Linked DNA regions of Mus musculus. The protein of the gene in region 1 interacts with the protein of each later gene in a pairwise test. Links are inferred from orthologs where the notes say so. Each region holds a gene or a part of one and is shown in the gene's direction. Other genes may lie near its edges.

Evidence for each region.
Region 2: the proteins of Atf4 (region 1) and Ccdc106 interact in binary tests that used the Homo sapiens proteins (3 or more experiments, as listed by UniProt). The link is inferred for Mus musculus from reciprocal best matches to the Homo sapiens genes ATF4 and CCDC106.
Region 3: the proteins of Atf4 (region 1) and Ldoc1 interact in binary tests that used the Homo sapiens proteins (3 or more experiments, as listed by UniProt). The link is inferred for Mus musculus from reciprocal best matches to the Homo sapiens genes ATF4 and LDOC1.
Region 4: the proteins of Atf4 (region 1) and Trib3 interact in binary tests that used the Homo sapiens proteins (3 or more experiments, as listed by UniProt). The link is inferred for Mus musculus from reciprocal best matches to the Homo sapiens genes ATF4 and TRIB3.
Region 5: the proteins of Atf4 (region 1) and Junb interact in binary tests that used the Homo sapiens proteins (3 or more experiments, as listed by UniProt). The link is inferred for Mus musculus from reciprocal best matches to the Homo sapiens genes ATF4 and JUNB.
Region 6: the proteins of Atf4 (region 1) and Golga1 interact in binary tests that used the Homo sapiens proteins (3 or more experiments, as listed by UniProt). The two-hybrid records come from large-scale screens. The link is inferred for Mus musculus from reciprocal best matches to the Homo sapiens genes ATF4 and GOLGA1.
Region 7: the proteins of Atf4 (region 1) and Bfsp2 interact in binary tests that used the Homo sapiens proteins (3 or more experiments, as listed by UniProt). The link is inferred for Mus musculus from reciprocal best matches to the Homo sapiens genes ATF4 and BFSP2.

What each region holds. Positions count from the first base shown.
Region 1 is NC_000081.6:80,253,733-80,258,269, forward strand, and holds Atf4 (cyclic AMP-dependent transcription factor ATF-4), read left to right. Parts: upstream 1-1,451; 5' UTR 1,452-1,953; intron 1,954-2,474; 5' UTR 2,475-2,566; coding exon 2,567-2,789; intron 2,790-2,901; coding exon 2,902-3,728; 3' UTR 3,729-3,813; downstream 3,814-4,537. UniProt on the Homo sapiens protein: Transcription factor that binds the cAMP response element (CRE) (consensus: 5'-GTGACGT[AC][AG]-3') and displays two biological functions, as regulator of metabolic and redox processes under normal cellular conditions, and as master transcription factor during integrated stress response (ISR).
Region 2 is NC_000073.6:5,055,049-5,059,799, forward strand, and holds the start of Ccdc106 (coiled-coil domain-containing protein 106), read left to right. Parts: upstream 1-1,677; 5' UTR 1,678-2,450; coding exon of another isoform or gene 2,451-2,580; coding exon 2,581-2,611; intron 2,612-2,750; coding exon 2,751-2,855; intron 2,856-2,943; coding exon 2,944-3,120; intron 3,121-4,447; coding exon 4,448-4,657; intron 4,658-4,751. UniProt on the Homo sapiens protein: Promotes the degradation of p53/TP53 protein and inhibits its transactivity.
Region 3 is NC_000086.7:61,707,866-61,711,597, forward strand, and holds Ldoc1 (protein LDOC1), read left to right. Parts: upstream 1-1,745; 5' UTR 1,746-1,844; coding exon 1,845-2,300; 3' UTR 2,301-3,085; downstream 3,086-3,732. UniProt on the Homo sapiens protein: May have an important role in the development and/or progression of some cancers.
Region 4 is NC_000068.7:152,341,261-152,345,255, reverse strand, and holds the start of Trib3 (tribbles homolog 3), read left to right. Parts: upstream 1-1,195; 5' UTR 1,196-1,399; intron 1,400-1,928; coding exon 1,929-2,219; intron 2,220-3,995. UniProt on the Homo sapiens protein: Inactive protein kinase which acts as a regulator of the integrated stress response (ISR), a process for adaptation to various stress. Inhibits the transcriptional activity of DDIT3/CHOP and is involved in DDIT3/CHOP-dependent cell death during ER stress.
Region 5 is NC_000074.6:84,976,042-84,979,997, reverse strand, and holds Junb (transcription factor jun-B), read left to right. Parts: upstream 1-1,249; 5' UTR 1,250-1,568; coding exon 1,569-2,603; 3' UTR 2,604-3,089; downstream 3,090-3,956. UniProt on the Homo sapiens protein: Transcription factor involved in regulating gene activity following the primary growth factor response. Binds to the DNA sequence 5'-TGA[GC]TCA-3'.
Region 6 is NC_000068.7:39,020,258-39,024,237, reverse strand, and holds part of Golga1 (golgin subfamily A member 1), read left to right. Parts: coding exon 1-29; intron 30-762; coding exon 763-865; intron 866-964; coding exon 965-1,098; intron 1,099-1,393; coding exon 1,394-1,537; intron 1,538-3,980. UniProt on the Homo sapiens protein: Involved in vesicular trafficking at the Golgi apparatus level. Involved in endosome-to-Golgi trafficking. Mechanistically, captures transport vesicles arriving from endosomes via the protein TBC1D23.
Region 7 is NC_000075.6:103,445,478-103,449,457, reverse strand, and holds part of Bfsp2 (phakinin), read left to right. Parts: intron 1-277; exon of another isoform or gene 278-410; intron 411-747; coding exon 748-909; intron 910-3,980.

The sequences.
Region 1 (4,537 bases):
GATAATTGGCTGTTAGAAAGGAGGCCAGAAAAAGAAGTGCAAGCTTACACCACGTGGAAGGTTTCTGGGGAGGCACGTTTTTGTATAGCAAAAGGCAGTCATGTATCACAGGTTCAGGAGTTTAGCAAAGCAAGGGGTGGGCATACATCATAGAGTTAGGAACTCAGCATAGGTTAAAAACCATGGTTTGCAGGGTACATTATGCTTAGGGGACAGAAACTTGTAAGGGATGTCCACTTAATGTAGCAGTGTGGCTGCTGTTTTGGTTTCCAGAGCAAAGAGAGGACATAGTTACCCTTTTGTTGCTTTTGCATGGAAAGACTAGGTAACTTCTGTATGTGTGCACATGCACTTGTGACTTCTTTGGGTATAAAAACATCTCATTATGTAGGCCTCGTGTTTTATGGTTGGTTCCGTCTCAGTAAACAATAATAAAGGCTCCTCTGAGGAAGGAGGATGGAGTTAGGGATATAGGGACTGGAGAGTTAGGTTCGAATTAATAAATAGCAATCAATCATATAATCAAGGACGACCTTGAACTATGGTACCCGAGCGCTAGGGTTGGGTTGTACAAGGCTTGCAAATAATCACTGAGCAGTAAGTGGCAGGCACTGTGCCAGTTGAGTGGTATTTGTGTGAGTCACTTAAACAGAAGTGGAAACTCTTTTTAAGATTTCCAGGCTGGAGTTGGAAAGAGCCTCTCAGCACTCTCAAAACAGCATCCTTTATGGTGAGGCCTTGACCAGTACCTGGGGCTCCCGATCACTTAGGCGGCAGGCTCACTCATCAGGATGACTTCTTGGGAAGGTGATACCTGGAAGTTAAGGCTTGAGAGCCAACTGAATAAACCTGATCTTAAGGGAACTGACCCTATACAAACCGGCAGTGAGGGCCTCTATGATGGGAGGATGGGCATAGGAGGTTAGACCTGAGGTTAGGCATGTTTCCCCGGTTCAGGGGAAATCGCTGAACTGGAGGAACCGGAATATCTCCCAAGAAGACCCCAACACGAACGCCCTGCCTCCAAGTGCCGTCCCTGTCCCAGGACTGACAGGAAGCTGAAGGTTTGGACCAGCTAACTCAGAAGGGTCTCTCCACATGCCTGAAGCCTGCCCACTCGGTTCTGGAAACAACAAATACATGAAAAGATGGCTTCCAGCCCAAAGGTCACGCCTGGAAGCTGTTTGCTCGGTGCGGAGCGATGCCGGAGAGAGCAAATACACATGGATCACATCTGACAAGAGATGGCAGGTGTGACAGTCTGGCGCCCGGAACCTCTGGTGGCTCCTCCCTTTCCACGCAGACCCCTGATCCTAGAGCGCCCAGGTGCAGAGCCAATAGGAACTTGAGGTTTAGGTGACTCGCCACGCCTGGGCCAATCAGCTCGACGCGCGCTCCGACGGCGTCTCGCGTGATAACCTGGCAGCTTCGGCTTTGACCGTCAGAGCTTTGGCTAGGTGTCCCACCCCGCCTTGTAAGACACCGGAAATTCGTCAACGAGCGATCCCTCCGCGCTCCGGAACCAGACCGCGGCTGGTCGTCAACCTATAAAGTAGTGCACTTTTCTCTCATGGGGCCTTTAGGACGATCTCTAACGCCACAGTTACCCCCCGAGCACAGCGGAGAAGGGTTGGGGCGGGCGAGGGCGTCAGTGAGAGGCGGTTTGGTGGCGCTGCGGTAGGATCACGTGACCACAGTGGGAGGATACGCGGTGTGCTGCGTCCCTGGCCGAGGCTATAAAGGGCGGGTTTAGGGCGTGCCGCCGCCATTTCTGCTTGCTGTCTGCCGGTTTAAGTTGTGTGCTCGGGTGTCCCTTTCCTCTTCCCCTCCCGCAGGGCTTGCGGCCACCATGGCGTATTAGAGGCAGCAGTGCCTGCGGCAGCGTTGGCCTTTGCAGCGGCGGCAGCAGCACCAGGCTCTGCAGCGGCAACCCCCACCGGCCTAAGCCATGGCGTGAGTATGGGGCCGGCCGCGGAGGGCGGGGGCCTCGCTGTGGTTGGGTGCGGCCCGGGCGCGGTGGCCGGCACACGCGGTTTTACAAGCGGCCGGACGCGTCGGCCTTGTTTGCGTTGCCTGCGACGCCGGCGCTCCCGGGCAGAGCTGGGCGGAGGAGTGTCTAAAGCGCTACTGCTGCCCCTTCGTCCTGTCTTAGCTTAATCATCTCGGGCTCACCGGGGTCCCCGTGTCATCCTGCGAACGTGGCGATGCCCAAGATGGCGGTGGGGCGGGGGTGTGAGTCACGGGGGCGGGGCGCGGCGGCCTTGGCCGTATTAGGACGCGAGGACAAGCTGCTTCCTCTGGGTGGCCGGTGAAGCAAAGCTAAGCCTCCATCTTGTGCAACCCGAGCTGGCGGCCGGGGAGGCTTACACAATGGCCTTGGGCCCGCGTGCTCTCCCTGTAGACGCTTCTGGGATTTGGCCATCCGGCATCTTAGATAGAAAGATGACTGGACTTGCTTTTGGGTCCCCATCCAGGCTCTTCACGAAATCCAGCAGCAGTGTTGCTGTAACGGACAAAGATACCTTCGAGTTAAGCACATTCCTCGAATCCAGCAAAGCCCCACAACATGACCGAGATGAGCTTCCTGAACAGCGAAGTGTTGGCGGGGGACTTGATGTCCCCCTTCGACCAGTCGGGTTTGGGGGCTGAAGAAAGCCTAGGTCTCTTAGATGACTATCTGGAGGTGGCCAAGCACTTGAAACCTCATGGGTTCTCCAGCGACAAGGCGGGCTCCTCGGAATGGCCGGCTATGGATGATGGCTTGGCCAGTGCCTCAGACACCGGCAAGGGTGAGTAGGACGGCTGTCCTGGTGTGCCCTTTTCATATGGATCTGGTGTTCTAATGGCTTTCTGCCTCCCGAATATGACATGAACCGTTCACACCTGAATTTCTTTTCCCAGAGGATGCCTTTTCCGGGACAGATTGGATGTTGGAGAAAATGGATCTGAAAGAGTTTGACTTCGATGCTCTGTTTCGAATGGATGACCTGGAAACCATGCCAGATGAGCTCTTGACCACGTTGGATGACACATGTGATCTTTTTGCCCCTCTAGTCCAAGAGACTAATAAGGAGCCCCCTCAGACAGTGAACCCAATTGGCCATCTCCCAGAAAGTTTAATAAAAGTCGACCAGGTTGCCCCCTTTACATTCTTGCAGCCTTTCCCCTGTTCCCCAGGGGTTCTGTCTTCCACTCCAGAGCATTCCTTTAGTTTAGAGCTAGGCAGTGAAGTTGATATCTCTGAAGGAGACAGGAAGCCTGACTCTGCTGCTTACATTACTCTAATCCCTCCATGTGTAAAGGAGGAAGACACTCCCTCTGACAATGACAGTGGCATCTGTATGAGCCCAGAGTCCTACCTGGGCTCTCCCCAGCATAGCCCCTCCACCTCCAGGGCCCCACCAGACAATCTGCCTTCTCCAGGTGGTTCCCGTGGGTCTCCTCGGCCCAAACCTTATGACCCACCTGGAGTTAGTTTGACAGCTAAAGTGAAGACTGAGAAATTGGATAAGAAGCTGAAAAAGATGGAGCAAAACAAGACAGCAGCCACTAGGTACCGCCAGAAGAAGCGGGCTGAGCAGGAGGCCCTCACTGGCGAGTGTAAGGAGCTAGAAAAAAAGAATGAGGCTCTGAAAGAGAAGGCAGATTCTCTGGCCAAGGAGATCCAGTATCTGAAAGACCTGATAGAAGAGGTCCGTAAGGCAAGGGGGAAGAAGAGAGTTCCGTAATAGGGTAGTCAGGTGCTTTGTGCTTGTACATAGTCTTGTGTTGCTGTGTTTGCTGTAATAAATTATTTTGTAGTGAAAGTACCTATGTGGGTTTTCAGTGTCATTCTTTGTAATAGACTTAACTGCAGACGTTCCTGGGTTAGATACAATAACTACCTGGGTATATCCCAGGGCTGAGCTGAGCTGTTTGAGACGGTGAAGATGAGGGAGCTCTGGGTTAATGAAAGGAACAGCCTGAATTCCACCTGTTCATACTGGCTTTGTGCCAGATAGCTGCCATGTAAGTACCTAGATGAGGTACCCGCCTTGAGCACACAGAGGATTAGGTTTTTCTCAGGCTTAAGGGATAGAGCTCATATTCCCTCTGACACAGATGGCTGGACTGTTTCCACCTGGTGGAAGGGCTGGGGTGATAGTAAACAGTGGCAGGTACTGTCTACAGAGGTGAAAATGAGCAATGTAGGCAGGAAGCTGGGAAGGGAACCTAGGCTTCCAGCTCCAGGGTCCTGGGCTACCTGCATCTTTACCTCTTAAATCTGGAAACTGTTAAAGCCTGCAGGGTTAAGAGGGATCTTTCAGCCTTCCCAATGCCAGTAGACTCACCTGAATGTTAGCTGTTGGGATGAATGTAGTCCATTGGGTTTGCTAATCTAGGATTCCTAAAACTATGGAATCCACCCGTAGTCTGGCCAAGAGTGGAGGAAGCTGTAGAAACCTTGACAATGTCAGGTATGACAAAAGGCTGGAAGTACTGCTTGCTCCCGTTTAGCCAGCCCAGACTGAAGCTGTTAGTTCTGGGCGCCTATTAG
Region 2 (4,751 bases), on another chromosome or scaffold:
TCTCAGACAATGGCCTGAGTGCCAGCCTGGCTTTCAGAGCCCTAGACACAAACCCAGCCTTGCCTCGAAGAGTCTCTGAGCTGTCAGGGCATCATAGTGCTTTGGAGGTATATGGAAACGAGCCCTCATAGAGAACAGCCCTGCCCCTTGAACAGTTGGGATATTTATTATTACGGATTCCTGATAGGAGGAAGGGAGGACCATGCTGTTTGGGGAAACTCTTGCCTGGGAAGTTTTAGTGGGTAGTCAGAGGTCTCTATTTTGACACTGGAAGTAGGGACCTTATATTGAACACTCAATGCACACCACACCCCATTCTCAATCCTTACTTACATTTTGGGAGACATTTTAGTTTATGCTATCTGGAACAAAGACCTTGACTGGGTAATGGGAAAGTCTGCCGTTTTCCTCTGGGAGTTAGGCCTACTTCAGTTTCCCCAAACCTGCCATTTATTTATTTATTTATTTAGATAAGGTTGTAATGTAGTTCAGGGTGACATTGGATTTATGATCTTGCCTCCACTTCCAGAATACTGAAACTCTGGGCTTTGTGCATGCTAGGCACCTTACACACTGCGCAACATTCCTAGCATCTTTGGGAAAAAGGTTCTGAACACTACCCCTTCCCCACCCAAACTACAATCCACATTAATATACTTAAAAAAATAGCATCTTAGAGCATAAGCACAGCTTTATACAGTTCACCTGGCTTTATACAATTCTCTGTGGTTTGAAATACTGATCTAGGGCAGGTGGTTCCCCCTGGACTTGCTGACCCAGGATGCAGTTTATTTGTAAAAATGAACTGCTTAGTCTTGGTTGACACATTCAGTCTTCCTCTGCAAGGATGGTTTAAGTCATGCCTCTTAGGGCTTCAGAACCCCAAAGAGGATGCTGCTTGTGAACCGGAGAGGCAGTGTAGGTCTAATAAACATGTCTTCGCTGCTCCTTTCCTCTGATTGTGTGTGTGTATGTGCCCTATGCAGATAGCCTCTTTACACGACTTCTTTTGGGGCGGAAGGGAGAGGGGGAGTGTCTTAAAGGCTGTGCATCTACACCGACTGACTTCAAATAATATCAACAGCGCTTGGATCTTAAGCTCCAAGAGTGGTCCGGTTCTGGGCTGAGCCTTTGGTATGTCACACAACTACATCCTCTCAAAGGCTTTTAAGAGTAACTTCCCACTGAACAGGTGAGTAAACTGAGGCCATGGAGGAATGAGGAGCAAGGACTGGAGTGTAGCTGTTCCACAGGTGGCTCCAGTGTGGGCTATTCCTGACCCACACTTTGCGGAGAAGTAACCACCACACAACCCATTCTCACATCCTGGTCCTCTTATTCCTTTAATCCTTTTCGTGGATGGGGGTGGGTGGAGGTTATGGTAGGTTGGAGCGGCTAAGACTAAAGGTATGCATGTATTAATCAGCTACTTAGGGATCATTAAAGGAGACTCAAATTTCACTTCAATTTTCCTTACTGCCTCATACCTTCTGACTTTTCTCGGCCCACTGGTCACATAGCCACTCACCCGGAGGACCCCCGGAACCGCATCAGCTGTGCAGGATGAGAATTTCATGAGGATCCCTGCCTAGGCTTTGGGAAAGGAGGGGGGGGGGGTTGTGTGTGGGGTGGGGGTTGGAGGGGTGTTGCAAGGGGCTATCGCGCAAGTGCGGTCCCGACCTCCGCGCAAACGGCGGGCCTCACCTGGGCTCCAGGAAGAGGCGCCCCAGGCTCGGCAGGCCTGATTCGGTTAGTGCCCACGTCTCCGCGCTCCGCCATCCAGTTCTCCCCCTCCTCTGCCGCTACGCCCGCTTACTGGTGGGTGGGCGCTTCTCTCCGCGACACTTTGCAGACGCTCCCCTGCGCTGGGCATGGGCGCCGCCACTGCCGTCGGTCCCGGGGCTGGAGTCCGTGCGCGGGTGGGTGAGAGCGGGGCCTCGGCCCCTTGTACCCTGAGCACCCAAAGGCGGGGAACGGTGCCCACGGTCGACACCCCCATGCCGGTTGCCCATTCTGGGACCCTTCGCCACGGTCGCCCCCTCCCACTTGTGGGACAAAGGGTGGGGGCGCATCCCCACGCGTGACCTCCCACGCACTGCGCACGCGCCCAGCTCCCACTTCGGGGAGGGGCTTTACTCGCCCACGCGAGTGCGGGAGGAATGGGCGGCTGGGACAGGGGAACGCTTGCAGGATGGACCCCCTACCCCAAGAATGGAAGTTAGGGGTGGTTGTTTCTCCATTTATGGCATTGGGTTCGGAGATGGGCCATGATGAAGGGCTTTCTCATTCAGGCCAGGTCTCCCTGTGGTGTTGACCCCACGAGGAACCAAAGAATTTAAGGGCCGAGCCCCTTCACAACCAAGATTCCTCTCGCTGAGCCCCCTCGCTCTGGGTACATACTTTGGAAGCCTCTGACTCTGTCCAGAAGTATGGGTCCTTTCCTCCCTCAGACTGGTGATCCTTCCTTACTCCGGAGGGACAGGTATTCCACCTCTCCAGGGACTGCCGACTTTTGGTGACCTGCTTCTGTCCAGTGCCCCCAAGGGCTCAGTTGCTGGGTCTGCAGGAAGCCTCCTCGATATGAATGACAGAAACAACCGTTGGCGGACAAGTGAGGCACCTGGGGACCCTTTCTTTTCCCATCCTTGGTCTGACATTCTGGTTCCCTCTGTCCATGGGACAGCAATGGTTGGGGGTGGTCTATAAGGTTCAGGCCACTTCTGGGGTGACCTCTGCTGACCTCTCTGCAGTGAAGGACGAAGAGACCTTTGAGATCTCCATTCCCTTTGAAGAGGCACCCCACTTAGACTCACAAATCTTATACCGTCTGAGTCCGTCTCGGAGAAATGTTGAGGGTGAGCTGAGAAAGGGCATTGGAGGGACTGGAGTCAGGTGGGGTACTGCCTCACCCTGGGGCATGACCTCCGTCCCTGCTGTTCTTAGAGCCTCCAGAGGGCGCCTCCCCAACCCTGGCCCTGATGAGCAGTGTTAAGGCCCAGCTGCACATGGCACTGGAGAGGAACTCGTGGTTGCAGAAGCGCATTGAGGACCTGGAGGAGGAGAGGGACTTCTTGCGGTGTCAGCTGGACAAATTCATTTCCTCTGCCCGGATGGATGCAGGTGGGGGCACACAGTCCCCCAGGACCCGCAGAATTCAACACCCAATGTTGGTTGGACCTGATGGGGACTTGGCATCTTATCCTTCCACTAAGGCCCATGCCTATTTTAGGGCCTTCCCCAGCCATTTCCTTCTTGATTTCAAAGACTTCTCTCATTTCCTATCTTGTGATGAGACTGCCCTGTAACTCATCAGCCTCAAGCACTTGGCATAACTGTCTCCCAGAGTCTATATTTCCAGCCCAGGTTCCTCATCTTAGGGGAAATGTCCCTTTGTCAGTAGACCCATTGCAGTCTACTGGATTCCTCAGAGGGGCCCTGCCAGCACCCCAGGATTTCTGAATGATGCAGTCATCATCCATTAGAGGTACCCTGAAATACCAATCAGGGTTCTGTCTTCCCTCTACCCTGCTCTACATTATCATGCCTCATGTTTCTTATTCTTCAAAGGCTGTGGGGGTCCCAGTACCTCTGTCTCCTAAGCTTCACCTTAGGGTCCTGAGCGGATCCCACTCCCTTGTCTTGCTCTAATCTACAACTAGTAACAGCATGGTGGTGTCACCTCTTCTGACAGGCAGGGCCCTATCTCATTAACCTGTGTTGACTGCCATTCCCAGCACATTCCCCACTCAAGGCTGCCCTTTCCCAGAGCTTTAGCCCTGGTTTCTTGGAGTACTTAGCCTTTATTCAGGCCATAACCCTAACCTCTGTATCCAGCTGAGCTGCTGGCAGGCTTTCTCATTGCTAACCATGGCAAAAGCTCTAGTAAAGGGACCTAGCACTGGGATGGGGACATGCATACCCTCTCTTCCTATACTGAGAGCTCTATCCAGGGTGACTCCTATCTTTCCCTGGTATGACTGGGCAGAGTCTTGGTTTCAGTTCTCAGGAGTTCATCCTTCAGAAGATGCTGAGTCTGAGTTGGCTCCCTATCTAGGGGAAGGTAGTTAGCATTTCCCAGTACCCAAACTGAACCCTGACTTCTGTAGGAGTCTGATATCCAATCCTCCTACCCAGAGGCACTGTCTGCCTCTCGGATTTTGACTCTTCACTCTGGAGCTCCCCAGGATACATTTCCCCCACAGAAACTCTGCATAGTCACAGATTCTCATGAATTCCCTGGACCTGTTTCAGTCAAGTTCAGAGCCTAGAAAAATGCTCACACTATTCCCCGAATCCCAGCTGGCTCTATGGCATTCAGTGTAGCTAATGTCTCTACTTGGGGACTTCACCCTGCCCTCATTCCGAGGACTTGGCCTCCATGTCCATCTTTCCCCCCTCAGGGCAATTATAGGACATTGTGTCACAGTTCACTTTTGTCTCTCTTTAGAGGACTACTGCCGGATGAAGCCTGGACCTCGGAGGGTTGATGGGGACAGCAGGGCTGGGGTTGGAGAAGCCTCAGACCCCGAGTCGGCAGCCTCCTCCTTCAGCGGGGTTTCCGAAGACGGAAGTGCCAGTGAAAGGAAGAGGCAGAAGCAGAAGGGAAGTACTAGCCGGAAGCGATTTGGGAAGACCAAGGCTCGAGAGAGGCAGCGGGGTGAGTGGGGAGTGGGTACATGTGATGGGTGTGTTGAGGGGTTGTGTACCCAGAATCGCAGTGTGAGCTCTACAGTGATGCCCTAACTCTCCAT
Region 3 (3,732 bases), on another chromosome or scaffold:
CAGAGAGGGAAAAACTATTGGAAGGCCTTGAACAGGGAAGTGAAAGGGTCTAACTCACCTTTTAAAGTGTTCTGGGCAACTTACTGTACAGAGTGCATGCTGCTAAAGGGCAAGGCTGGCAGCTAAGGGATTCGATGTAGCAGGGTAGCAGATAGGACCAGAATTGATTGAATTTGGAGATATATTTTTAAAAGCAGACCCATTGTGTATCAGCTTGATGACCCAGAACGAAACTTAGTTATCAACAACTAATCACATTCAAACTAGGCAGACAGGCTTATTTAACAGTGCACATGGTAGTTTAACTACACAGGAACAAAGGTACTCATAAACAGGACATGATAAGAATCAAAGATAGGATGTTTACAAGTGGACACCCTGTATACATTTTATAAATCTTTTTTTGGGGGGAGGACATTCTTTTTTCTTTTTTATTAAATTTATTTATTTTTTTCACTTTACATCTCAATATCAACCCGCTCCTCTCCTCCCAGTGTCCCCTCTCCTAGGTCTTTCCTCCATTCCACCTTCTCTTCTCTTTTGAGAATAAAAATCCTCACAAAATAACATCCTCCTCCACACACACACACCCAACAAGTCAAACCCTCTCCAAATGAGGACAGACAAGCCAAACCATTTAGAGTAACTGGGTCCTCAAGCAGGCAGGCAGCAGACACAGGGACAGCCCTTGCTCCAGTTGTTGGGGAACCTCCAAGAAGACCAAGCTGCACATCTGCTACATGTGTGCAGGAAGGCCTAGGTCCAGCCTGTGCTTTCTCTTTGGTTGGTGTTTGCAAATCTTGTTAACAAAATTGCTTGTCAAAGAGAAGTCTTTTGTTGCATACTATTTATTTATTTAATGAAAGTGAGTCTACCTGTGAGTCTTTTAGACTTGGAACCCAAATGACCTCCTGCACGGTGGCCCACAGAGTCAGCGTTATTTCTCCGAGTGAGATTTAAATGAGCAAGGAAATGTGTTAACCAACCAGACACTCCTCACCCCCAGAGCTTCCAGGGACTAAACCACCGACCAAAGAGTATACATGGAGGGACCCATGGCTCCAGACGCATATGTAGCAGAGGATGGCCTTGTCAGGCATCAAAAGGAGGAGAGACCCTTGGTCCTGTGAAGGCTGGAGACCGCAGTGTAGGGAAATTCGAGGGAGGGGAGATGGGAGTGGGTGGGTGGGTGGAGGAACACCCTCATAGAAGCAGGGGGAGAGGAGGATGGGATAGGGAGTTTTGAGGGGAGGGAGGCGGGAACGGGGATACCATTTGAAATGTAAATAAAGAAATATCCAATAAAAAGTAAAAAAAGAAAAAAAAATGTGTTAAGAAAGGATCACTTTAAAGAAGCTGATGGCCACAGACCCACAAAGGAACACTGAATTAGATGAACAGGCTGCCTGCAGAAAAGTTTCAGCTGGAGCAGGCCAGCCCTGAGGGCTGAGCATCTGTTCTCCACTGTGGCAAGCTTTGCTCCCTCAGCCTTCCTACTTCCAGGTGGAAGAACTGGCGGGACCCCGCAGCGAAGCTCCTGGGTCACGCCCTGCTCCTCCTCAGCCACATCCACTCTGGCCACCAGTCCCACCCTGACCACGCCCCCACGCCATCCCGCACCCTTCCCAGCCACACCTTCCTTACCGCACTGCGCTAGCGCACAGGTTTGTAAAGTGACCCTGTGGGTGGAGTTTCTGCCGCTGGCTGGGACCCCTCCATTTATTGCCCAGGGTCCGCACTCCTCTGAGGACCCGCACTTCCTGCTCAGCCTCTCTGTGCAGCTCCGTGGAGCCGATCCGAGACTGAGACCGAGACCGAGACCGAGACCGTCCAAGCAGTTAACCATGGTGGAAGAGCTGCTGTCGCTTCTGCACGCGCTTCTGGATAGGCACCAAGCCCTGTGCATGGAGAACCACCAGCTCCTGAAGCAGCTGCGACTGTTGGTGTGTGAGCGGGCCAGGCTGCTGCGCCAGGTATGTCCACCGAGCTGTCCGGTGCCCTACCCCTCACGGTTTAGCGGCGAGAGTGGTCGGCTCCCTGAGTTTATCATGCAGACCATGTCTTACATGCTTGCGAATGAGGAGCACTTCTGCAATGATGCCATGAAAGTGGCATTCTTGATCAGCCTCCTCTCCGGGGAAGCTGAGGAGTGGGTGATGCCTTACATCGAGTCAAATAGCTACGTCCTCGGTGATTATCAGGCCTTTGTTGATGAGATGAAGCAGTATTTTGGCTGGGGTACCGACGACGAAGATGATGGTGATGATGATGAAGAGGAAGAAATGGAGGAAGATCACTAGGCCGGAGCCCCCTTAGGCCTAGAGGTGGGGGCCTTCACGCCTTTTCATTCCAACCCCCCACCCGCCATTCCTGCTGCCTCAATCTCTCCCTTTGCATGGCCATCCTCTTCCCCGCCAGTCTGTTTGCTCCATCATTCCCTTCAGGACTTGTCTTTGTTCCAGTTACCTGCTGTGAGTTGGGCCTGGACCTTGCTCTGAAACTCACTTTGGCCTCAGGCACTTATCCTAATCTGAACTCTGTTCGGAGTTCCAGCGATTTTCCAGGTCCCTATTAGAACTGGTCAGACCACCTGCATTCCTGCTGCTGACATCCACTGGAACTCAGGCCAGTCCGCCATCTGCCCAGAAGCAGATTCCTGACATTTCACCTCCACTCACCGAATTTCATCTGAAGCACTTTTCAAGATAAGGACCAAGAAGATGATGGAGTTGCTACTCCACCCATTCAGACTCTGTTTTGGACTACTCACCAAACCTTGAAGGGGCCAGCCAGTCTTTACCGACTGGTTAGTTCTGTACGTACTACCAGGTTCCACATCTGCCTGACCAGAACAGGAACCTGATGTGCCTGCCGGACAGTTAAAATGTTGACATGTCTTTTCTCCTATGCATCAGTTTTGCACAGCACGTTTCCTTTCAGAACTGCAGCAGCCTCACAGATGTGTCCATGTGGACAAGGACTACTAAAATAAAAGCAAACGGACAGGCATTCAGCCCAGATCCTCTCTAGTACTTGAAAAAAGCAATGTAATTCTTTGCAATAAATATCAAGCACTGCAAAACTAGCAGCAAACTGTTGTCTTTTCATGGTTAAGTGCTACCATTGGCTATTGTGACTCACCTCCATTATTTCATTGTGGTTGGGGAACTTGGTTCAATCCCAGTATTCTCACTTTCATTTTTGGGCTCCAGGGGGCCCTGTCATAGGGTTTTAAAAGCTGTGGTGAAGGAGCATTGTCTGGGGCTTCCAAGGTGACATATAAAGGGTGGCTGGGTAGGGGGGCTATCATCTTAAATTAGGTCACTTTGGAGAAATAAAGGGACATTATTAACATTTAGACTGACAGTAGAGGCATATTACTGGGCACAGTGAAGTTTCCTAACATGGCAGAGAAGTTTTATCCATTGTCCTTCTTTCCTGTGGGTGGCAATTAGCAAGATGCTTATGTCTCCTGAGCTAGAACCTGGACTGGAGTTTGTGAGTTGACATCTCTCAGACAGTCCAGAGGGTAGGTACTGAGAATTATCTGCCCAGCTTTGTTTGTGTGTCAGTCCATTATGTTACCCTGCTGAAATGAACTTGGTAAAGGGGTATACACGGTAACCAGGAAATATTGGAAAGATCTAGGGTTTCCTGAATCTGCCTGAATGTCATTTTACTGGTTTAAAAGCGAATTCAGACATAGAACTTTTAATTAATTTAAATAATACA
Region 4 (3,995 bases), on another chromosome or scaffold:
TAATGTCCCTCCACCTGCAGTGTCCAGCGGCTCCATCCTATTTACAGAGTGCCTACAAGTCCCATAGACTACACTTTGTTGTTACTGGGGATCGGACTCACTGCTTACCATATGCAAATGTACTACTAGGCTAATGTTCTGTGGCTGAGCTACAAAACATTACTCTGCTTCAACCCTTACTCTTTTTTTTTTTTTTTTTTTTTTTTTTGAGACAGGGTTTCTCTGTGTCCTGGAACTCACTCTGTAGACCAGGCTGGCTTTGAACTCAGAAATCCGCCTGCCTCTGCCTCCTGAGAGTGCTGGGATTAAAGGCATGCACCACCACTCCCGGCCACATTTCTTTTTAGCTTGATAACAAGGCCTTTAGTCCCAGTATTGGGGAACAGAAGCAGGTACATCTCTGTGAGTTTGAGAGAAGCCTGCCTTACAGAGTGAGTTCCAGGCAAGCCAGAGCTGCATGGTCAAACTCATCCTCCTGCCTTAGGCTTCCGAGTAACTGAGATTCTAGGTGTGCATCACACCCAGCTCTTCTAAGAGCTTTGAGCACACGAACTTACTAATAATGTTCACGGCAACCATGTGATGAGAGCAGCATTTTACGGAGAAGGGAAATGGAGCTCTGCTTCCTTTGGTTGTTTTTGGCTTTGTGCTCTCACAGAGCCACACCCCGAGCCAGACTGGGCGCTAAGCGGCTTTTCTGAGCTACAGCAGAACTGGGTGCACCCTTGAAAGGGTTGCTTTGGAGGGAAGGTTCCCAGGATGCACGCAGAGCACGGGGCTTCTAGCCCAGTCCTTAGTGGGGTGTGGAGGCGATATTTGTTTTGTTTGTTTGTTTTTCGAGACAGGGTTTCTCTGTGTAGCCCTGGCTACCCTGGAACTCACTCTGCAGACCAGGCTGGCCTCGAACTCAACGATCCACCTGCCTCTGCCCGACTACCGGGTAGCGGGTGGAGGGGATTGACGAGATTTTTAAACAGCCTCCGTTCATTCTTTTTTCCTCTATTCTCATTTCATATACGGGGAAATAGGTATAAAGTACTACAATACGGAGAGTCGGTGGCTCCGAGTGCTACTTCAGGAGCTGGGGGGCGGGGTAGGGTTGGGGGCGTGTGGCCCCGAAGGTGAGGGCGGAGCTCACTCGGCGACATGGGCGGGTCACAGATGGTGCAATCCCGGGCCGCTGGGCGTCAGCAGCAGATTAGCTCAGGTTTACATCAGCCGGGCGGGGATCCGAGCCCGCGTCCCGGTGCCGCAGCACTTTAGCAGCGGAAGAGGCTGCTGCCGAGTACGTGACGGCTGGGGTCTGGCACTAGCGTGCAGGAGACTCCGAGAGCTGCTCAGTTAGGCTGGCGGCGGTCCACGGGCGTGGGCGCAGGCGGCTCTGAGGCTCCAGGACAAGGTACCCAGTAGGGAGCTGCGAAGGGGGATTTACCCGGGTCTGGCAAGAGGGTCACTGGAAGTCCAGGCGTATTCATGAATATTTCTATTCTCTCTCTCTCTCTCTCTCTCTCTCTCTCTCTCTCTCTCTCTCTCTCTCTCTCTCTCTCGTTCTCTCTCTCTCTCGTTCTCTCCCTCTCGCTCTCGCTCTCTTTTACTCACTCTCACTCTTCTCACTCTCACTCTCTCGCTCCTTTACTTCGCCGTCTGGGGGCGCCCTCAGCCTGAGCTGTCGACCCCAGCTTATTATGCAGCCCAGGCTGACTGGCAATTCACCAGTCAGCCCCCAGGGTGCTGGCGAAGCAGGGGTGCGTCCCTAAGCTCAGCTCTCCTTATTGCGTTATTAAACCTTTCATTCGTCGCGGGTCCCTTCCTTCCCTAGCAGTCCTTGCATTTGAGAGCTTCGGAAAACCCAGTGTGGTGTTTCTCTGTTCGGAAGGTCCTAGCAGAGAAGACAGGATACCAAACAGTCTTTCTTCCTTGCTCTCTAGATGCGAGCTACACCTCTGGCTGCTTCTGCTGATGTTTCCTGCAGGAAGAAACCGTTGGAGTTTGATGACAATATTGATGCCAAGTGTCCAGTCCTAAAACGAGTGAGAGATGAGCCTGAGCCCGGACCACTCCCCAGCCTGCTGCCCCCCAGCCCACCTCCCGCCTCAGACTTGTCACCTGCTGTGGCCCCTGCAACTCGACTGGGGCCTTATATCCTTTTGGAACGAGAGCAAGGCAGCTGCAGCTATCGAGCCCTGCACTGCCCCACAGGCACAGAGTACACCTGCAAGGTATATTCTATGGGCTCTCCCCTCTAGCATCCCAGGGCTCTGCAAAAGGCCCGGAATCCAGAGGACTGTAGCTTTCTAACCTTGTAGATTATCACTGGGTTCCTCAACTGACATTCCTCCACGGAGTACTATACATATAATGCATTTGCTGCAGCCAAAAAACCAGACCCAAGTGGGGTGTGGTGGCACATGCCTATAATCCCAGCACCAGAGAGGCTAAGGCAGGAGGTTGGCTCTGAACTTCAGGCTAGCCTAGAGTACATACATGCTGAGAACCTGCCTGAAAATCAACCCAAGTCTAGATCCAGTGCTCTTGCTTGCACACTTGTAATTCTGTACTGGGAAAGTGGAGATAGGCAGATCTCTGGAGCCAGACTACTGGTCAGCCAGCTAGCCTATTCAGCGAGTTTGTTCGGAGGTCAGTGAGAGACTATCTCAGGTAGAGAGAAGAGAGAAAGGGAAGGACTAAAGGGGCTGGAGACATGGCTCAGTGATTAAGAAAGTGTGAAACTCTTGCAGAGACCCAAGTTCTGTTCCCAGCATCTGCTTGAAGCAGCTCACCACTGTATAACTCCAGGGCCTCTGACCTCAAGCATCTGCACTTGTGCTTATACCCAGACACAGACAGACAGACAGACAGACAGACAGACACACACACACACACACACACACACACACACACACGATTAAAAATAAATCCTAAGACAAAAACTGGGTGGCATCTGAGGAATGACACCAGAGACTTTCCTCTGCCTGCCACAAGAACACACGCATGTGCACATACCAGAAGAGCCCAGGCAATGAAGAGCATTATGGAAATGAAGCTAGTGTCAGAGGGCAGGGAGAAGCAAAGAGAGGAGGAGACATGCAGGGATGCAGGGGAACTTAAGGAAGCCTGGGAGGGCTTTGCAGATGATAAAGGGCCATGCATGTCAGGAGCTGAAGGAGGCTTAGGGAGGAGGGTCCAAAGGCAGTGTGTCCCCGCTGTGGGTACAGGAAACACAAAGGGCCAGCCATAGTGATACTCACCTTTAACAGCAGCGCTTGACACGTGTATCTTGTAAGTTCAAGGCTAGCCTGGTCTACATAGTGAGTTCCAGGGCAGCCAGGGAGACACAAAGAGACCTTGTTTCAGAAAGCTCACCCCACCAGGCAGTGGTGGCATACACCTTTAATCCCAGCACTTGGGAGGCAGAGGCAGGCAGATTTCTGTTTGTTTTGTTTTGTTTTGTTTTGTTTTTTGGGGGGTTTTTTCGAGACAGGGTTTCTCTGTGTAGGGCAGGCAGATTTCTGAGTTGAAGGCCAGCCTGGTCTACAGAGTGAGTATCAGGACAGCCAGAGCTACACAGAGAAACCCTGTCTCAAAAAAAAGAAAAGAAAAGAAAAGAAAAGAAAAGAAAAGAAAAGAAAAGAAAAGAAAGGTCACCCCTTCTTTCCCCCAAATAAAGAGATCCAACGGTGCTGAGACAGGACCAAGCTTTGGGAGAGAATGAAAAAGTAGTCTGTGTATTTATTTCCTCCTTGCTACCTACCCTAGCTCTTTCTTCTAAGATCACGTTTTGTTTTGTTTTGTTTTGTTTTGTTTTGTTTTGTTTACTTTCAGCCCCCACCCCCCACCCCCAATGCCTGAGTTTAAAGTCAAAAGCAATAAAGTAACACTTCAGCTCTGAAACCCTAGCTCCTAGAAGGCCTCCAGTGTATCCACAAACTCTGAGCACACTTCCCAGCTGCCTCACTGTGCCCCCATATGACTCCCCCCCTCCTCATCCTGACCAC
Region 5 (3,956 bases), on another chromosome or scaffold:
TGCAGGCTGAACCATTTCTAGATGGGGGAGATCAGACTATGACTAGAAGCGTCTGTAGCTGGGTTGTGACTTCCCCAAGGGTCGCTTGCCGAGGTTCCTCTTCCCAGGCGCAGAATTTGGCAGGCCCAGGGTAGGGTGCACCATCCCCTAGGCTCACAATGACGAGACAGGGCCGGGCTCTTTCCCCCTCGGGGCTGTTGCCACACTTCCTGCCTCGGCTCTCTTTCCCTAGCCTGTTTCTAAGGAAGGGAGTGGGGTTGGGCGACCGCACCCCAGCTATCCCGCCCCATCGGCCCTCCAAAAGCTGACAGGATATCGGGCGAGCCCCGGGTGACTAAGGGAGGGCTTTGGGCTGAGGTACTGGGCATGTCAGTGCCCTAGGGACCACCTACGAGGTACAGCCTCATTCGTACAAGTCCTGGTCTCTGGGATCCTCCGAGTCATCTTCTCAGGAAGATCTCAGATACCCTCCTGTCATTGCCTTCATAGCTCGGAAGGAAGCTATGTCGTGACCATTTTAATTCTCTGCCAGAGTTCTGCAAATATCCACAATGACCCCAACCTTTGCTAGATATGTTCCCATCTTTCTACTCCGATTACCTCAGCGTCCCCAGGACCTTTGTTCTGAATATCTAAATTGACCTCCCCAAAATTCCTTCCCTTTTCCACTTATGGGGAAACCCTCAGACTCATCTATGGACTCTAGAGCCCCTACTCATTTCTTGTACAATAGGTACCTGAGCCCTGTTGTGTCTTGGCCCTTTCCTCCCAACTGACAATTCCAGTTCTTTAAGCACTTTGTACCCGGGACCTCTGGTTAATTCCTAGGCCAAATGTTAACAATTGCCCCTGTTTTGTATCTTCTCTGTTTTCTGGGGTCTTCTACTGTATTGTCAGTTCACAAGCCACAGCTACCCTGGGTCCCACGAGACTTTTCCGGGGATATCCTAAGGTATCCAATCTCCACTTGCAGTGTATCTCATAAGCACCTGGCTGTACTCCCGCAGTTCTAGCCCCTATGTGCCTCGGCCCCTCAACATCCCTTTGCTTGTGTGTCTCTGTCTCCACAGCCCCTCCCCCTGCAGCCGCGCAGAGCCACCCGGCTCGTGGCCGCTGTTTACAAGGACACGCGCTTCCTGACAGTGACGCGAGCCGCCTCCTCCCCTTCCCCACGCTCTAGGAGGGGGCCGCGGGGGCCTGGCTCCCGCGTCGGCCAATCGGAGTGCACTTCCGCAGCTGACAAATTCAGTATAAAAGCTTGGGGCTGGGGCCGAGCACTGGGGACTTTGAGGGTGGCCAGGCCAGCGTAGGATCCTGCTGGGAGCGGGGAACTGAGGGAAGCGACGCCGAGAAAGCAGGCGCACCACGGAGGGAGAGAAAATCTCCGGAAGCCCAGCAGCGCCTTTACGCACAGCTGCCAACTGGCCGCTGCTGACCGTCTCCAGCTCCCGAGGACGCGCGACCGGACACCGGGTCCTGCCACAGCCGAGGACAGCTCGCCGCTCGCCGCAGCGAGGCCCGGGGCGGCCCTTCAGGGGGACCTTTCCCAGATCGCCCAGGCCGCCCGGATGTGCACGAAAATGGAACAGCCTTTCTATCACGACGACTCTTACGCAGCGGCGGGATACGGTCGGAGCCCTGGCAGCCTGTCTCTACACGACTACAAACTCCTGAAACCCACCTTGGCGCTCAACCTGGCGGATCCCTATCGGGGTCTCAAGGGTCCTGGGGCGCGGGGTCCAGGCCCGGAGGGCAGTGGGGCAGGCAGCTACTTTTCGGGTCAGGGATCAGACACAGGCGCATCTCTGAAGCTAGCCTCCACGGAACTGGAGCGCTTGATCGTCCCCAACAGCAACGGCGTGATCACGACGACGCCCACGCCTCCGGGACAGTACTTTTACCCCCGTGGGGGTGGCAGCGGTGGAGGTACAGGGGGCGGCGTCACCGAGGAGCAGGAGGGCTTTGCGGACGGTTTTGTCAAAGCCCTGGACGACCTGCACAAGATGAACCACGTGACGCCCCCCAACGTGTCCCTGGGCGCCAGCGGGGGTCCCCAGGCCGGCCCAGGGGGCGTCTATGCTGGTCCGGAGCCGCCTCCCGTCTACACCAACCTCAGCAGTTACTCCCCAGCCTCTGCACCCTCTGGAGGCTCCGGGACCGCCGTCGGGACTGGGAGCTCATACCCGACGGCCACCATCAGCTACCTCCCACATGCACCACCCTTTGCGGGCGGCCACCCGGCACAGCTGGGCTTGAGTCGCGGCGCTTCCGCCTTTAAAGAGGAACCGCAGACCGTACCGGAGGCACGCAGCCGCGACGCCACGCCGCCTGTGTCCCCCATCAACATGGAAGACCAGGAGCGCATCAAAGTGGAGCGAAAGCGGCTGCGGAACAGGCTGGCGGCCACCAAGTGCCGGAAGCGGAAGCTGGAGCGCATCGCGCGCCTGGAGGACAAGGTGAAGACACTCAAGGCTGAGAACGCGGGGCTGTCGAGTGCTGCCGGTCTCCTACGGGAGCAAGTGGCGCAGCTCAAGCAGAAGGTCATGACCCATGTCAGCAACGGCTGCCAGTTGCTGCTAGGGGTCAAGGGACACGCCTTCTGAGAGCCTCCCTTGCCCCATACGGACACCCCCAGCCTTGAAGGCTGGGCGCCTGCCCCCCACTGGGGTGAGGGGGGCAGGCGATGGGCACCCGCCAAAAGGCCTGGGGCGCAGCTCACACACTGGACTCCGGCCCGCCCGCCTGCGCCCAGTCCTTCCACCTCGAGGTTTACATGGCCCCCTTCCAGCGTATTTTGTATGTTTTTTTTTTCTGCAAAGAGACTGAATTCATATTGAATATAATATATTTGTGTATTTAACAGGGAGGGGAGAAGGGGGCTGTCGCGGCGGAGCTGGCCCCGCCGCTTGGTACTCAGCCTGCGGGGATACTAGGGAGGGACCTCCGCCCCCTGCCCTCCCCCTCTGCATAGTACTGTGGAGAAGAAACACGCACTTCGTGTCTAAAGTCTATTTTAAGATGTGTTTGTGTGTGTGTGTTTGACTTTTTATTGAATCTATTTAAGTAAAAAAAAAATTGTCTTTATTAATTTCTGTGGTCTCTTTTTTCTTCCAAGCTGGGCGGATGGAGGGAGAAGATTGGGCTACCCCAAGCACGGTGCTGTTTGTAGCTCGCTCCTTTCAGGTATCATAAGGTTCAGTACAAACGCCCAGACCTCCTATCCCCTGAGTCCTGGCACCAGACGCTGCGCAGGCGGGCAGTGGCGGGGAACAAGCTACCCAGGACAAAACGCGGAATGTGCAAGCATGACCCCGCCCAGCAGAGTGCGCCGGGGCTTTCCCCGCTGACGTTACGGAAGCTCTGCCCATATATGGGCCTATTCAGCTCAGTGACGCCAGCGCGGTCTCCGGGCAGATTCCGGGAATCCCCTCCCCCCCGCTCTGCCGGGCAGGGCCGCGGCGCCGGGAAGGGGGCCGGGATTTTCCCGAGCAGGCGGCTTTCTGGGCGCGGAAAGCCCCAGGCCCGGGTCCAGGGCGCCCGCGGCGGGAGGGCCGTGCTCTCATGAGCCCTGGGAGCCATCCGAGCGGCTTTCAACAGACCGGCGCCGGAGCCCCACCGCGCCCACGCCCCCTCCATTAGACCGACCCTGGCGGAGAGTAACTGCAGCCTTCCTGTAGTTGCAGACGCCGTCAGGGCAACTCCTGCCAGGAAGGGCGGCGCCCGCCCGCCAGTGTCCCCCTCCCGTGTGCCAGGCCAGAAGCCGGCGACTGCCAGGTCTGGTCCTGTCCCGGCAGTTGTTTGGGCAGCTGGGCGTCGCCACAACCCGGCTCCAGCAGCTGAGGTGGGAGGTTCAAAGCTGCTACTTGCTGTTGGGATCTGGGTGCCCTTGAAGCTGGAAGATCCAAGCGCAAAGGAAACCGTACCACTCAGGTGGAGCCGAGGAATAATTCAGTAGT
Region 6 (3,980 bases), on another chromosome or scaffold:
GGAAACAGAGAGAAGAGTTCCAGCAACAGGTAGGTCCCTGGCTGGCTACCAAGGTGTAAGCCAAAACTGTGTTCCCCTGCAGTCTCAGTGGCACTGCACCTTCTATGTGGGGCCATCAGAGAGACCCCATATACCCAGGGTAAGCATGTCAAGGGTCTCTAGGAACACAATCAATTGGAAAATGCCCTATGACCTGTAGGTTACTTGGAGAAACTATTACCAAGAAACCTCACCCCAGATGATGCCCTTCCTAAATTTTCATGGTTACTTAGTTGTAAACATTGATTGGAGAAAAAGTCATTAGGGAACTAACAGTCTGATTCTGTCAAGTGGTACATCACCACCTGCTATTCCCAAAGGGTAAGCCAGAAGTATAGGAAAAACTATATGTGGGGACAAATAGAGCACCTGGCTCTTGCTCTGCTGACTAGAGGTCTCCAGTGAGTTCTTGACCAATCTGAGGCCAGTCGCTTCTGGAAAAAACTTAGAGTGATCATACCTTCTGATACCAGCATGAGGTACGCAACAGGCTGGTGAATTGTGGGTGCTCAGGAAAGGATGTGTTGTGAGGCTAACCAGAATATCCACACTCTGGGTAGCCCAGCATGGGCCAGCAGGGTAGTGAGGGCAAGCACATTGTGCAAGGCCATTTAGGAGAATGGATCCCACTGCCATATGTTTATTCTAAGCTGCAGATGTAATGAAGGGTACTATAGGAAAGGGAGTTATGTCAGCCCCTCTTATGCTGAGTTTCCTGCTAAGGCCACTGAGTTGACAGCCATCATAGAAGAGAAAAATCAGAGCCTGTGTGAAAAGGATGAGGCACTTCTCCAGAAGGAGCAGGAACTTCGACAGCTGGAAAAAGGTGAGGAGTCAACCCCTGGCCAGTAAGCGTCATTAGTGAGCCAGCCTGTCACAAAGCAGTGTGCAGTCACTAGCTCACACTATACTCCCACTGCCCTAGGTCACAGTTCTGCCCTGCTGCAGATGCACAAACTGCAGAGGGAACTAGAGGCCTTGAAGACTTGCAAGGCTCAGGAGGCAATGCCAGCCACAACAGGAGAGGACTGCCTGCCACTGCAGGGCCAGGAGCCACTTGTGAGAGCTCTCCCTATACTGGAGGGAGGATTTGGGGTGGGAGTGGGGGGGGTGCTCTGCACTGTTAGGGCCCTGCTTTTGTGGTAAAGGTGCTCAGCTGCCTAGGGGGCTTGAGACCTATAGGACCATCTGTGTGCAGCACCTATGTGGTGTGTGTATATGCCAGTTGGTCACCAAAAGTCAGTAGTTTGCCTGGCAGGTACTGGATGGAATCTTCTCATATGGGGCTGGCACTCCTTCCCCACAGACCTGCAGCTCACCCTCTGCCTTTTGTCCTATTGCCCCTATCCTGTAGGTCATTTCAAAAGCCATGCAGAATTCTGAGTATGAGCTTCCAGCTGCAGAAGGAACTCCAAACGGTGAGGTTGGAGCCAGTGATCTAAAGCAGCTACAGAAAGAAAAGCAGGACTTAGAACAGCAACTTATCGAGAAAAATAAGGTGAGGACACCATACCTGGCTACCTATGCTGGATCTGTTCTAGCCCAGCCCTCAGGCCAGCAGCCCAGCTGTTCCTCCTCATTGCTATTACCTCCTCCCCAAGTCTGCCATCTTTCCTCTAGAGGTTGGTGCTGGTTTTCTCATGGCTCTCCCCCCACCCCACTTCCTGCTGTCCTGTAACTCTTCTCTGTAGACAAGGCTGGCCTCAAACTCAAATCTGCATGCTTCTATCTCCTGAGTGCTGGGACTAAAGGCATGTATGGCTTTTGACCTCACTCCTCAGACCTACTCTGCTTACATCTCTCTCAGTGCAAATTGCAGTCCGTGCTGAGTGTAATGACCCACACCTGTAATCCTGCACTCTGCAGACAGATACAGAAAGGCCAGGATAAAGGCCAGCCTGGGTTATGGAAAGCTTTCTTTAAGACAAGACCACACTGTATAGCCCTGTCTAGCCTAGCACTCACAGAGTTCATACCTTTCCAATGCTGGGATTAAAGGTATATGCCACCTCAACCTTGAGTCCTGCTTTCAAGAATGGCCATGGGGAAATTCAGTCATGGTAGTATGCGTCTTTAATCTCAGCACTCTGGAGGCAGAGGCAAGTAGATTCATCTGAGTTCAAGGCCAGCCAGGGCTCTGTAATGAAACCTTGTCTCAAAAAAGAAAGGGGGTGGGGGAGGTAGGGGAAAGAGAGGAATGAAATGGGGCTCAATAATAGAATACTTGACTAGCTAGCATGCATAAGACCCTGAGTTCCATCCCTAGCATTACAAAAATAAAAATAGAAACTCAGTCACAAAGTAAAGCATGGGCATCCCCTAGAGTTACTAGCCCATTACAAATTACCACTAGGAAGCCAAGCATAGTTACACATGACTGTAATGCCAGTACTTAGGAGGGGGACACAGGAAAGTGGGAGTTCAGTCATCCTTGGATACATAGCAAGTCTGAGCCAGTCTGGTATATATGAGACTCTGCCTCCCCCACCCTACACACACACACACACACAACCACTGGGGAAATAGTAAGTGAAAGTGAAACGTGAAAAAGAAAAAGCTGGACATTCTCATGTACACCTGTAATCCTAGCACTGTGAATTCAAAACCAGCCTGAGCTGCTTAGGAAGATCCTGTCTCAGACACAAAATAGAAACAAATTTTCACTCTTCAGTACAAGAATCAGAGCATAAACTAGAAAGTCTAAGAAAATTCTTATTTTGCTCTTATAGTTGTAAGATCTCATTCATATATATATATAGATATATAGGTATATCTATATATACATATAGTTTGTCTGTTTGTTTTCTTTGAGACAGGGTTTCTCTGTATAGCCCTGGCTGTCCTGGAACTCACTCTGTAGACCAGGCTGGCCTCGAACTCAGAAATCTGCCTGCCTCTACCTCCTAAGTGCTGGGATTAAAGGCGTGTTCCACCACTGCCCGGCATCAGAGATATTTTTATTTAAGACTTTTCCAAGGTACTGGAGAGACAGCTAAGCAGTTAAGAGCACTGTTTGGGTTTAGTTCCCAGCACCCACATGGCAGCTCACAACTCTCCTGTGTTCTGAGACAGGATCTTCCTAAGTAGCTCAAGTTGCCTTTGAGTCACAGTAGTTCTCTTATCCCAGCCTCTCAAGTGCTAGGATTACAGGTTTAACTCCAGTTACAAGAGATTCACTGCTGCCTTCTGGCTTCCATGAGCTCCTGTATTCAGGTGTAGCCCATAAACAGAGGCAGGCACACAGACATACACAAATGGTTTTGGTTTTTGGCTTTTTTTTTTTTTAAGATTTATTTATTATTATATCTAAGTACACTGTAGCTGTCTTCAGACACACCAGAAGAGGGCATCAGATCCCATTACAGATGGTTGTGAGCCACCATGTGGTTGTGGGATTTGAACTCAGGACCTCTGGAAGAGCAGTCAGTGCTTTTAACTGTTGAGCCATCTCTCCAGCCCCACAAATGTTTTTAAAAATAAATATTTAACAATTTCTCATTGAGTTTGATCCCTGTCACTGAGGAAAATAAAATTCCTGTGTTACAGATTATAAAGTTTTAAATTAGGAAAGTGAAGCTCAGCCTTTCTAATGAATGATGAGATGTGTAGTAAACCACATTTAAGCCTTGTAATAAAAAACCCACTGGTTACATATGAAAATAAAGGGGCTCAGTAGTTAAGAGCACACTTATCCAGAGAAGCTGGGGTCAATTCCCAGCACCCACATGGCAGCTCCAGTCCCATGAGACACCCTCAAGCAAAACATCCATATACATAAAATTAATTCTTTTTTAAAAAATGGAATATATTCTGCAGAGCCACTCACAGCAGCACTCTCAAAGTATATGAGCACTACCAACAGGCCTGAGGACCCAGCACACAAAGTTGGGTAGGAAGTGTACTGTCAAGAGAACAATAATACTGTGGCCCCTCAGGGGCCT
Region 7 (3,980 bases), on another chromosome or scaffold:
TGAATAATTCTAAAGATAGGCGCACGGGTGGTTCCTACACACTCGTTAACAAAAGAAGGTTGTATCTTTAAGTGACAGGACCAAAGGGCACCTCTAGCAGGGATGTGGTCACGTCACCTGCAGGAAACCACCACACACACACATCACTCTGATTCATGGTTGAGGGTGCTTCAAGCTGACAGTCACAGCTCACTGCCCGTGTTCACATTGCGGAGTTCCTCCTGTGCCCAAACCTGAAGCTGACCAATGGCTGGAAACCTGTTCCTTCCTGTTCTTGGCTCAGTTCCTGACAGCACACTCCAGCAGCCACCCCTTAGACTCTAGAACGGATTTTAATCTCCTTTAGTACATCCTGATGTTATGCCTAACTTCCATTTTCTATAGATGCTTGCTATAGGTTACTATACTATGTACTTACTTTTGATTATGTTTTTAGTTTTTGTTTTTTTTTTAACTTGGGCATGGGCTTGGGAGGATCTAATCTAAGAAATGCATCCTTGGGGAAAGAAAAATGATACCTATACCTAGAAGATCTGGGACTTTGCCAGTCTTTGTGGTGCCCATGCATGGTGCAAGATAGATAGATAGATAGATAGATAGATAGATAGATAGATAGATAGATAGATAGATAGATAGATAGATAGATAGATAGATAAGCAGGCCTGCCAAGCAATGCCCACAGAGCCAGCCTGTTTTTCCTCCCTAGAGGAAAGACAGGTGTCCTAAGGTGTCCACTGTTGCTTTTAGGATGTGAAGGTTCTGTACAAACAGCTGGCAGGGTCTGAGCTGGAGCAAGCAGATGTCCCCATGGGCACCGGTCTGGATGATGTCCTTGAGACGATCCGAGTTCAGTGGGAGAGAGATGTGGAAAAGAACCGAGCAGAAGCAGGAGCCTTGCTCCAAGCTAAGGTAAGAGACCAGCCAGGATCGCCCCCTGCGTCCTGGGAAGGAGGAGGCCGAGCAAGGTGGAGTCAGCCAGCATGTAAAAGAAATGCAGCCATTTAGCAACAAGCTCAGCCCCCCATGGAAAGAGGAGAAGTGCAAAGTAAGATAATAATGCTTGTTTGCCTCTCTGAAATAAGAAAATGTTTAAGATGGCAATGTTCAATTCTGGAAAACATATGTAAAAGATTCTCTACTGTGTCATCAAAGAGTATAAGGTGTAAGTTTTTATCCAGCCTTCGAGTAAAGGATGTTATTGTCTGTATCAAAGGTGTTTGTAGGGTCCTACCTGCTGCCTGTACGCTACTGTGCTGCTAGCTGAGCAATCTGGACAGCCATGTTAAAGAGCACATTAGGAATGCAAAGGGTTGTGATGTAGCTCAGGGATTGTGTGTGAGTGTGTGTGTGTGTGTGTGTGTGTGTGTGTGAGAGAGAGAGAGAGAGAGAGAGAGAGAGAGAGAGAGAGAGAGAGAGAGAGGTGTCCAAACATGCTCCATGAAGCATTTTAAGGGTTGAATTATAAGGTGGTAAAAATACATGTCTTATCAAAAGAAAAAAACTACACCGTTACCTAACTACGTTGTGTGCAATGAAACCTGTTATTAGAAATGAAGTAATTATAACAACACGGGGAAAGCCCATGGAATGTAAAATGGAAGAAAAGCAATTGCAGAATGATATATACCGGGGACTGACAAGAAGGTTTTGTTCAACAGTGAGTACTTTAGACTCGCCTGGGAAGCCAGATGATTTCTGTTGCAGTCTCTCAGCTTTGCCCCTGTAGCGTAACAGCAGCCAGACACAGTATACAGCCGCAAGCATTCTGTGTTCCAATAAGACATGTTTTTAATCCAAACACTTGGGAGACTGAGGCAAATGAATATCTGTGAGTTCAAGGCCAGCCTCTTCTATATAGCTACTTATAAGACCAATCTCAAAAAAAAACCAATTATCGAAACAGCAAGTGAACTGGACTTGGCCTCTCGGCTGTTGCCATCTCCCACGACAGACAGTGGAATAGAACACTGTTCTCAAGGGGAGACCAGGTGTCTCCAAAAATTAGGCTCACATGGTAGCTGCAGCAGCAGTGGGCTGCCTTTGAATAGGTGGCTTATCTGATACTTCATGGTGTTTTTCTTTCTTTTGAGTATTGCTCAAGTTAATTTCCTAAGTAGCCTGAATTATATTAATGAGAAAAAAGAGTCAAGTAGTATGAGATGTAACAAATAAGAAAAGAATTATCTAAAAACTAGACCGTAGACAGTTTGTCCTTCAGGTCTGCCCCTGCTCTTCACTCGGGGACTTGGAAGAGAGAGGAAGGACCATGTAACGGAACTGAAAAAACAAGGTGAGCTTGTTCAAAAGAGGCTGAGTTAATGACTTTCAACACCCACTGCCCAGCAGAATCATCTCAGAAACTGTAACGGCCAGGATCCACTCCAGAACAACTTAGAAGCAGCAGAAAGACTTGATGGGTTTCTTTTTTAATTATTAATAATAAAAGTTCTCAGGGCTGAAGTGAGGGCTCAGTGGTTAAGAGCACACACTGCTCTTCCTGAGGACCTGAGTTCAGTTCCCAGCACCCATGTCAGACAGATCACGCCTGCCATCCACCTGTAGCTGCTGCTCCAGGAGATGCAGTACCCTCCTCTGGATTCTGATGCACCCACAAGCTCAAGTGCACACACACACACACACACACACACACACACAGAACAAAATAAGTCTTTTTTTTTTTAAAGTTCTGTGACTTCTATTTCCCTGATGACTAAGGATGTTGAACATCTAAGTGCTTCCCAGCCATTCAGGATTCCCGTTGAGAATTCTCTGCTTAGTTCTGTGTCCCATTTTTCAATTGGGTTACTTGATTTGTTGATGTCTAATTCCTTGAGTTCTTTATATCTTTTAGATATCAGTCCTCTGTTGGATGTAGGGTCGGTGAAAATCTTTTCCCATTCTGTAGGCTGCTGTTTTGTCCTATTGATGGTGTCCTTAGCCTTGCAAAACCTTTTCAGTTTCGTGAGGTTCCATTTCTTGTTGATCTTAGCGCCTGAACTATTGGTGTTCTGCCCAGTAATTTGTCTCCTGTGCCAATGTGTTCAAGGCATTTTCTCACTTTCTCTTCTATTTGATTTAGTGTGTCTGGTTTTCTGTTGAGGTCTTTGATCCACTTAGACCCGAGTTTTGTGCAGGGTGATAGATATGGGTCTATTTGCATTCTTCTACATGCAGACATCCAGTTAGACCAGCACCATTTAGGGAAGACATTCTCCCTTTTCCATTGTATGGTTTTAGCTTCTTTGTTAAATTGTCCATAGTTGTGTGGGTTTATTTCTGGGTCTTCAATTTTATTCCACTGATCAACATATTTTTATGCCAATACCTTATGGATTTTATTACTATTGCTCTGTAGTACAGCTTGGAATCAGGGGTGGTGATGCCTCCAGAAGTTCTTGGATTGTACAGGATTGTTTTAACTATCCTTGTTTTGTTTTAATATGAAGTTGAGAGTTGCTCTTTAAAGGTCCGTAAAGAATTGTGTTGGAATTTTTATGGGAATTGCATTGAATTTGTAGATTGCTTTTGGTAAGATGGCCATTTTTACTATGTTAACTCTACCTATCCATGGAGAGAGCATGGGAGAGCTTTCTATCTTCTGATATCTTCCTCAATTTCTTTCTTTAGCAACTTGAATTTTTTTGTTTGTTTGTTTTGTTTTTCAAGACAGGGTTTCTCTGTATAGCCCTGGCCATCCTGGAACTCACTTTGTAGACCAGGCTCACCTCAAACTCAGAAATCCGCCTGCCTCTGCCTCCCAAGTGCTGGGATTAAAGGCATGCACCACCACCGCCTGGCTGAAATTCTTGTTATATAGGCCTTTCACTTGCTTGGTTAGAGTTCCATCAAAATATTTCATATTATTTGTGGCTATTGTAAAGTTCTCCTCCCAATAATTCCGACCTTTCTTCAGCCTTGAGGATTGGTCATAAAAGCTGCCATAAGACAAAAGAAGGACGACACCCTCCCCCTCAGCATTT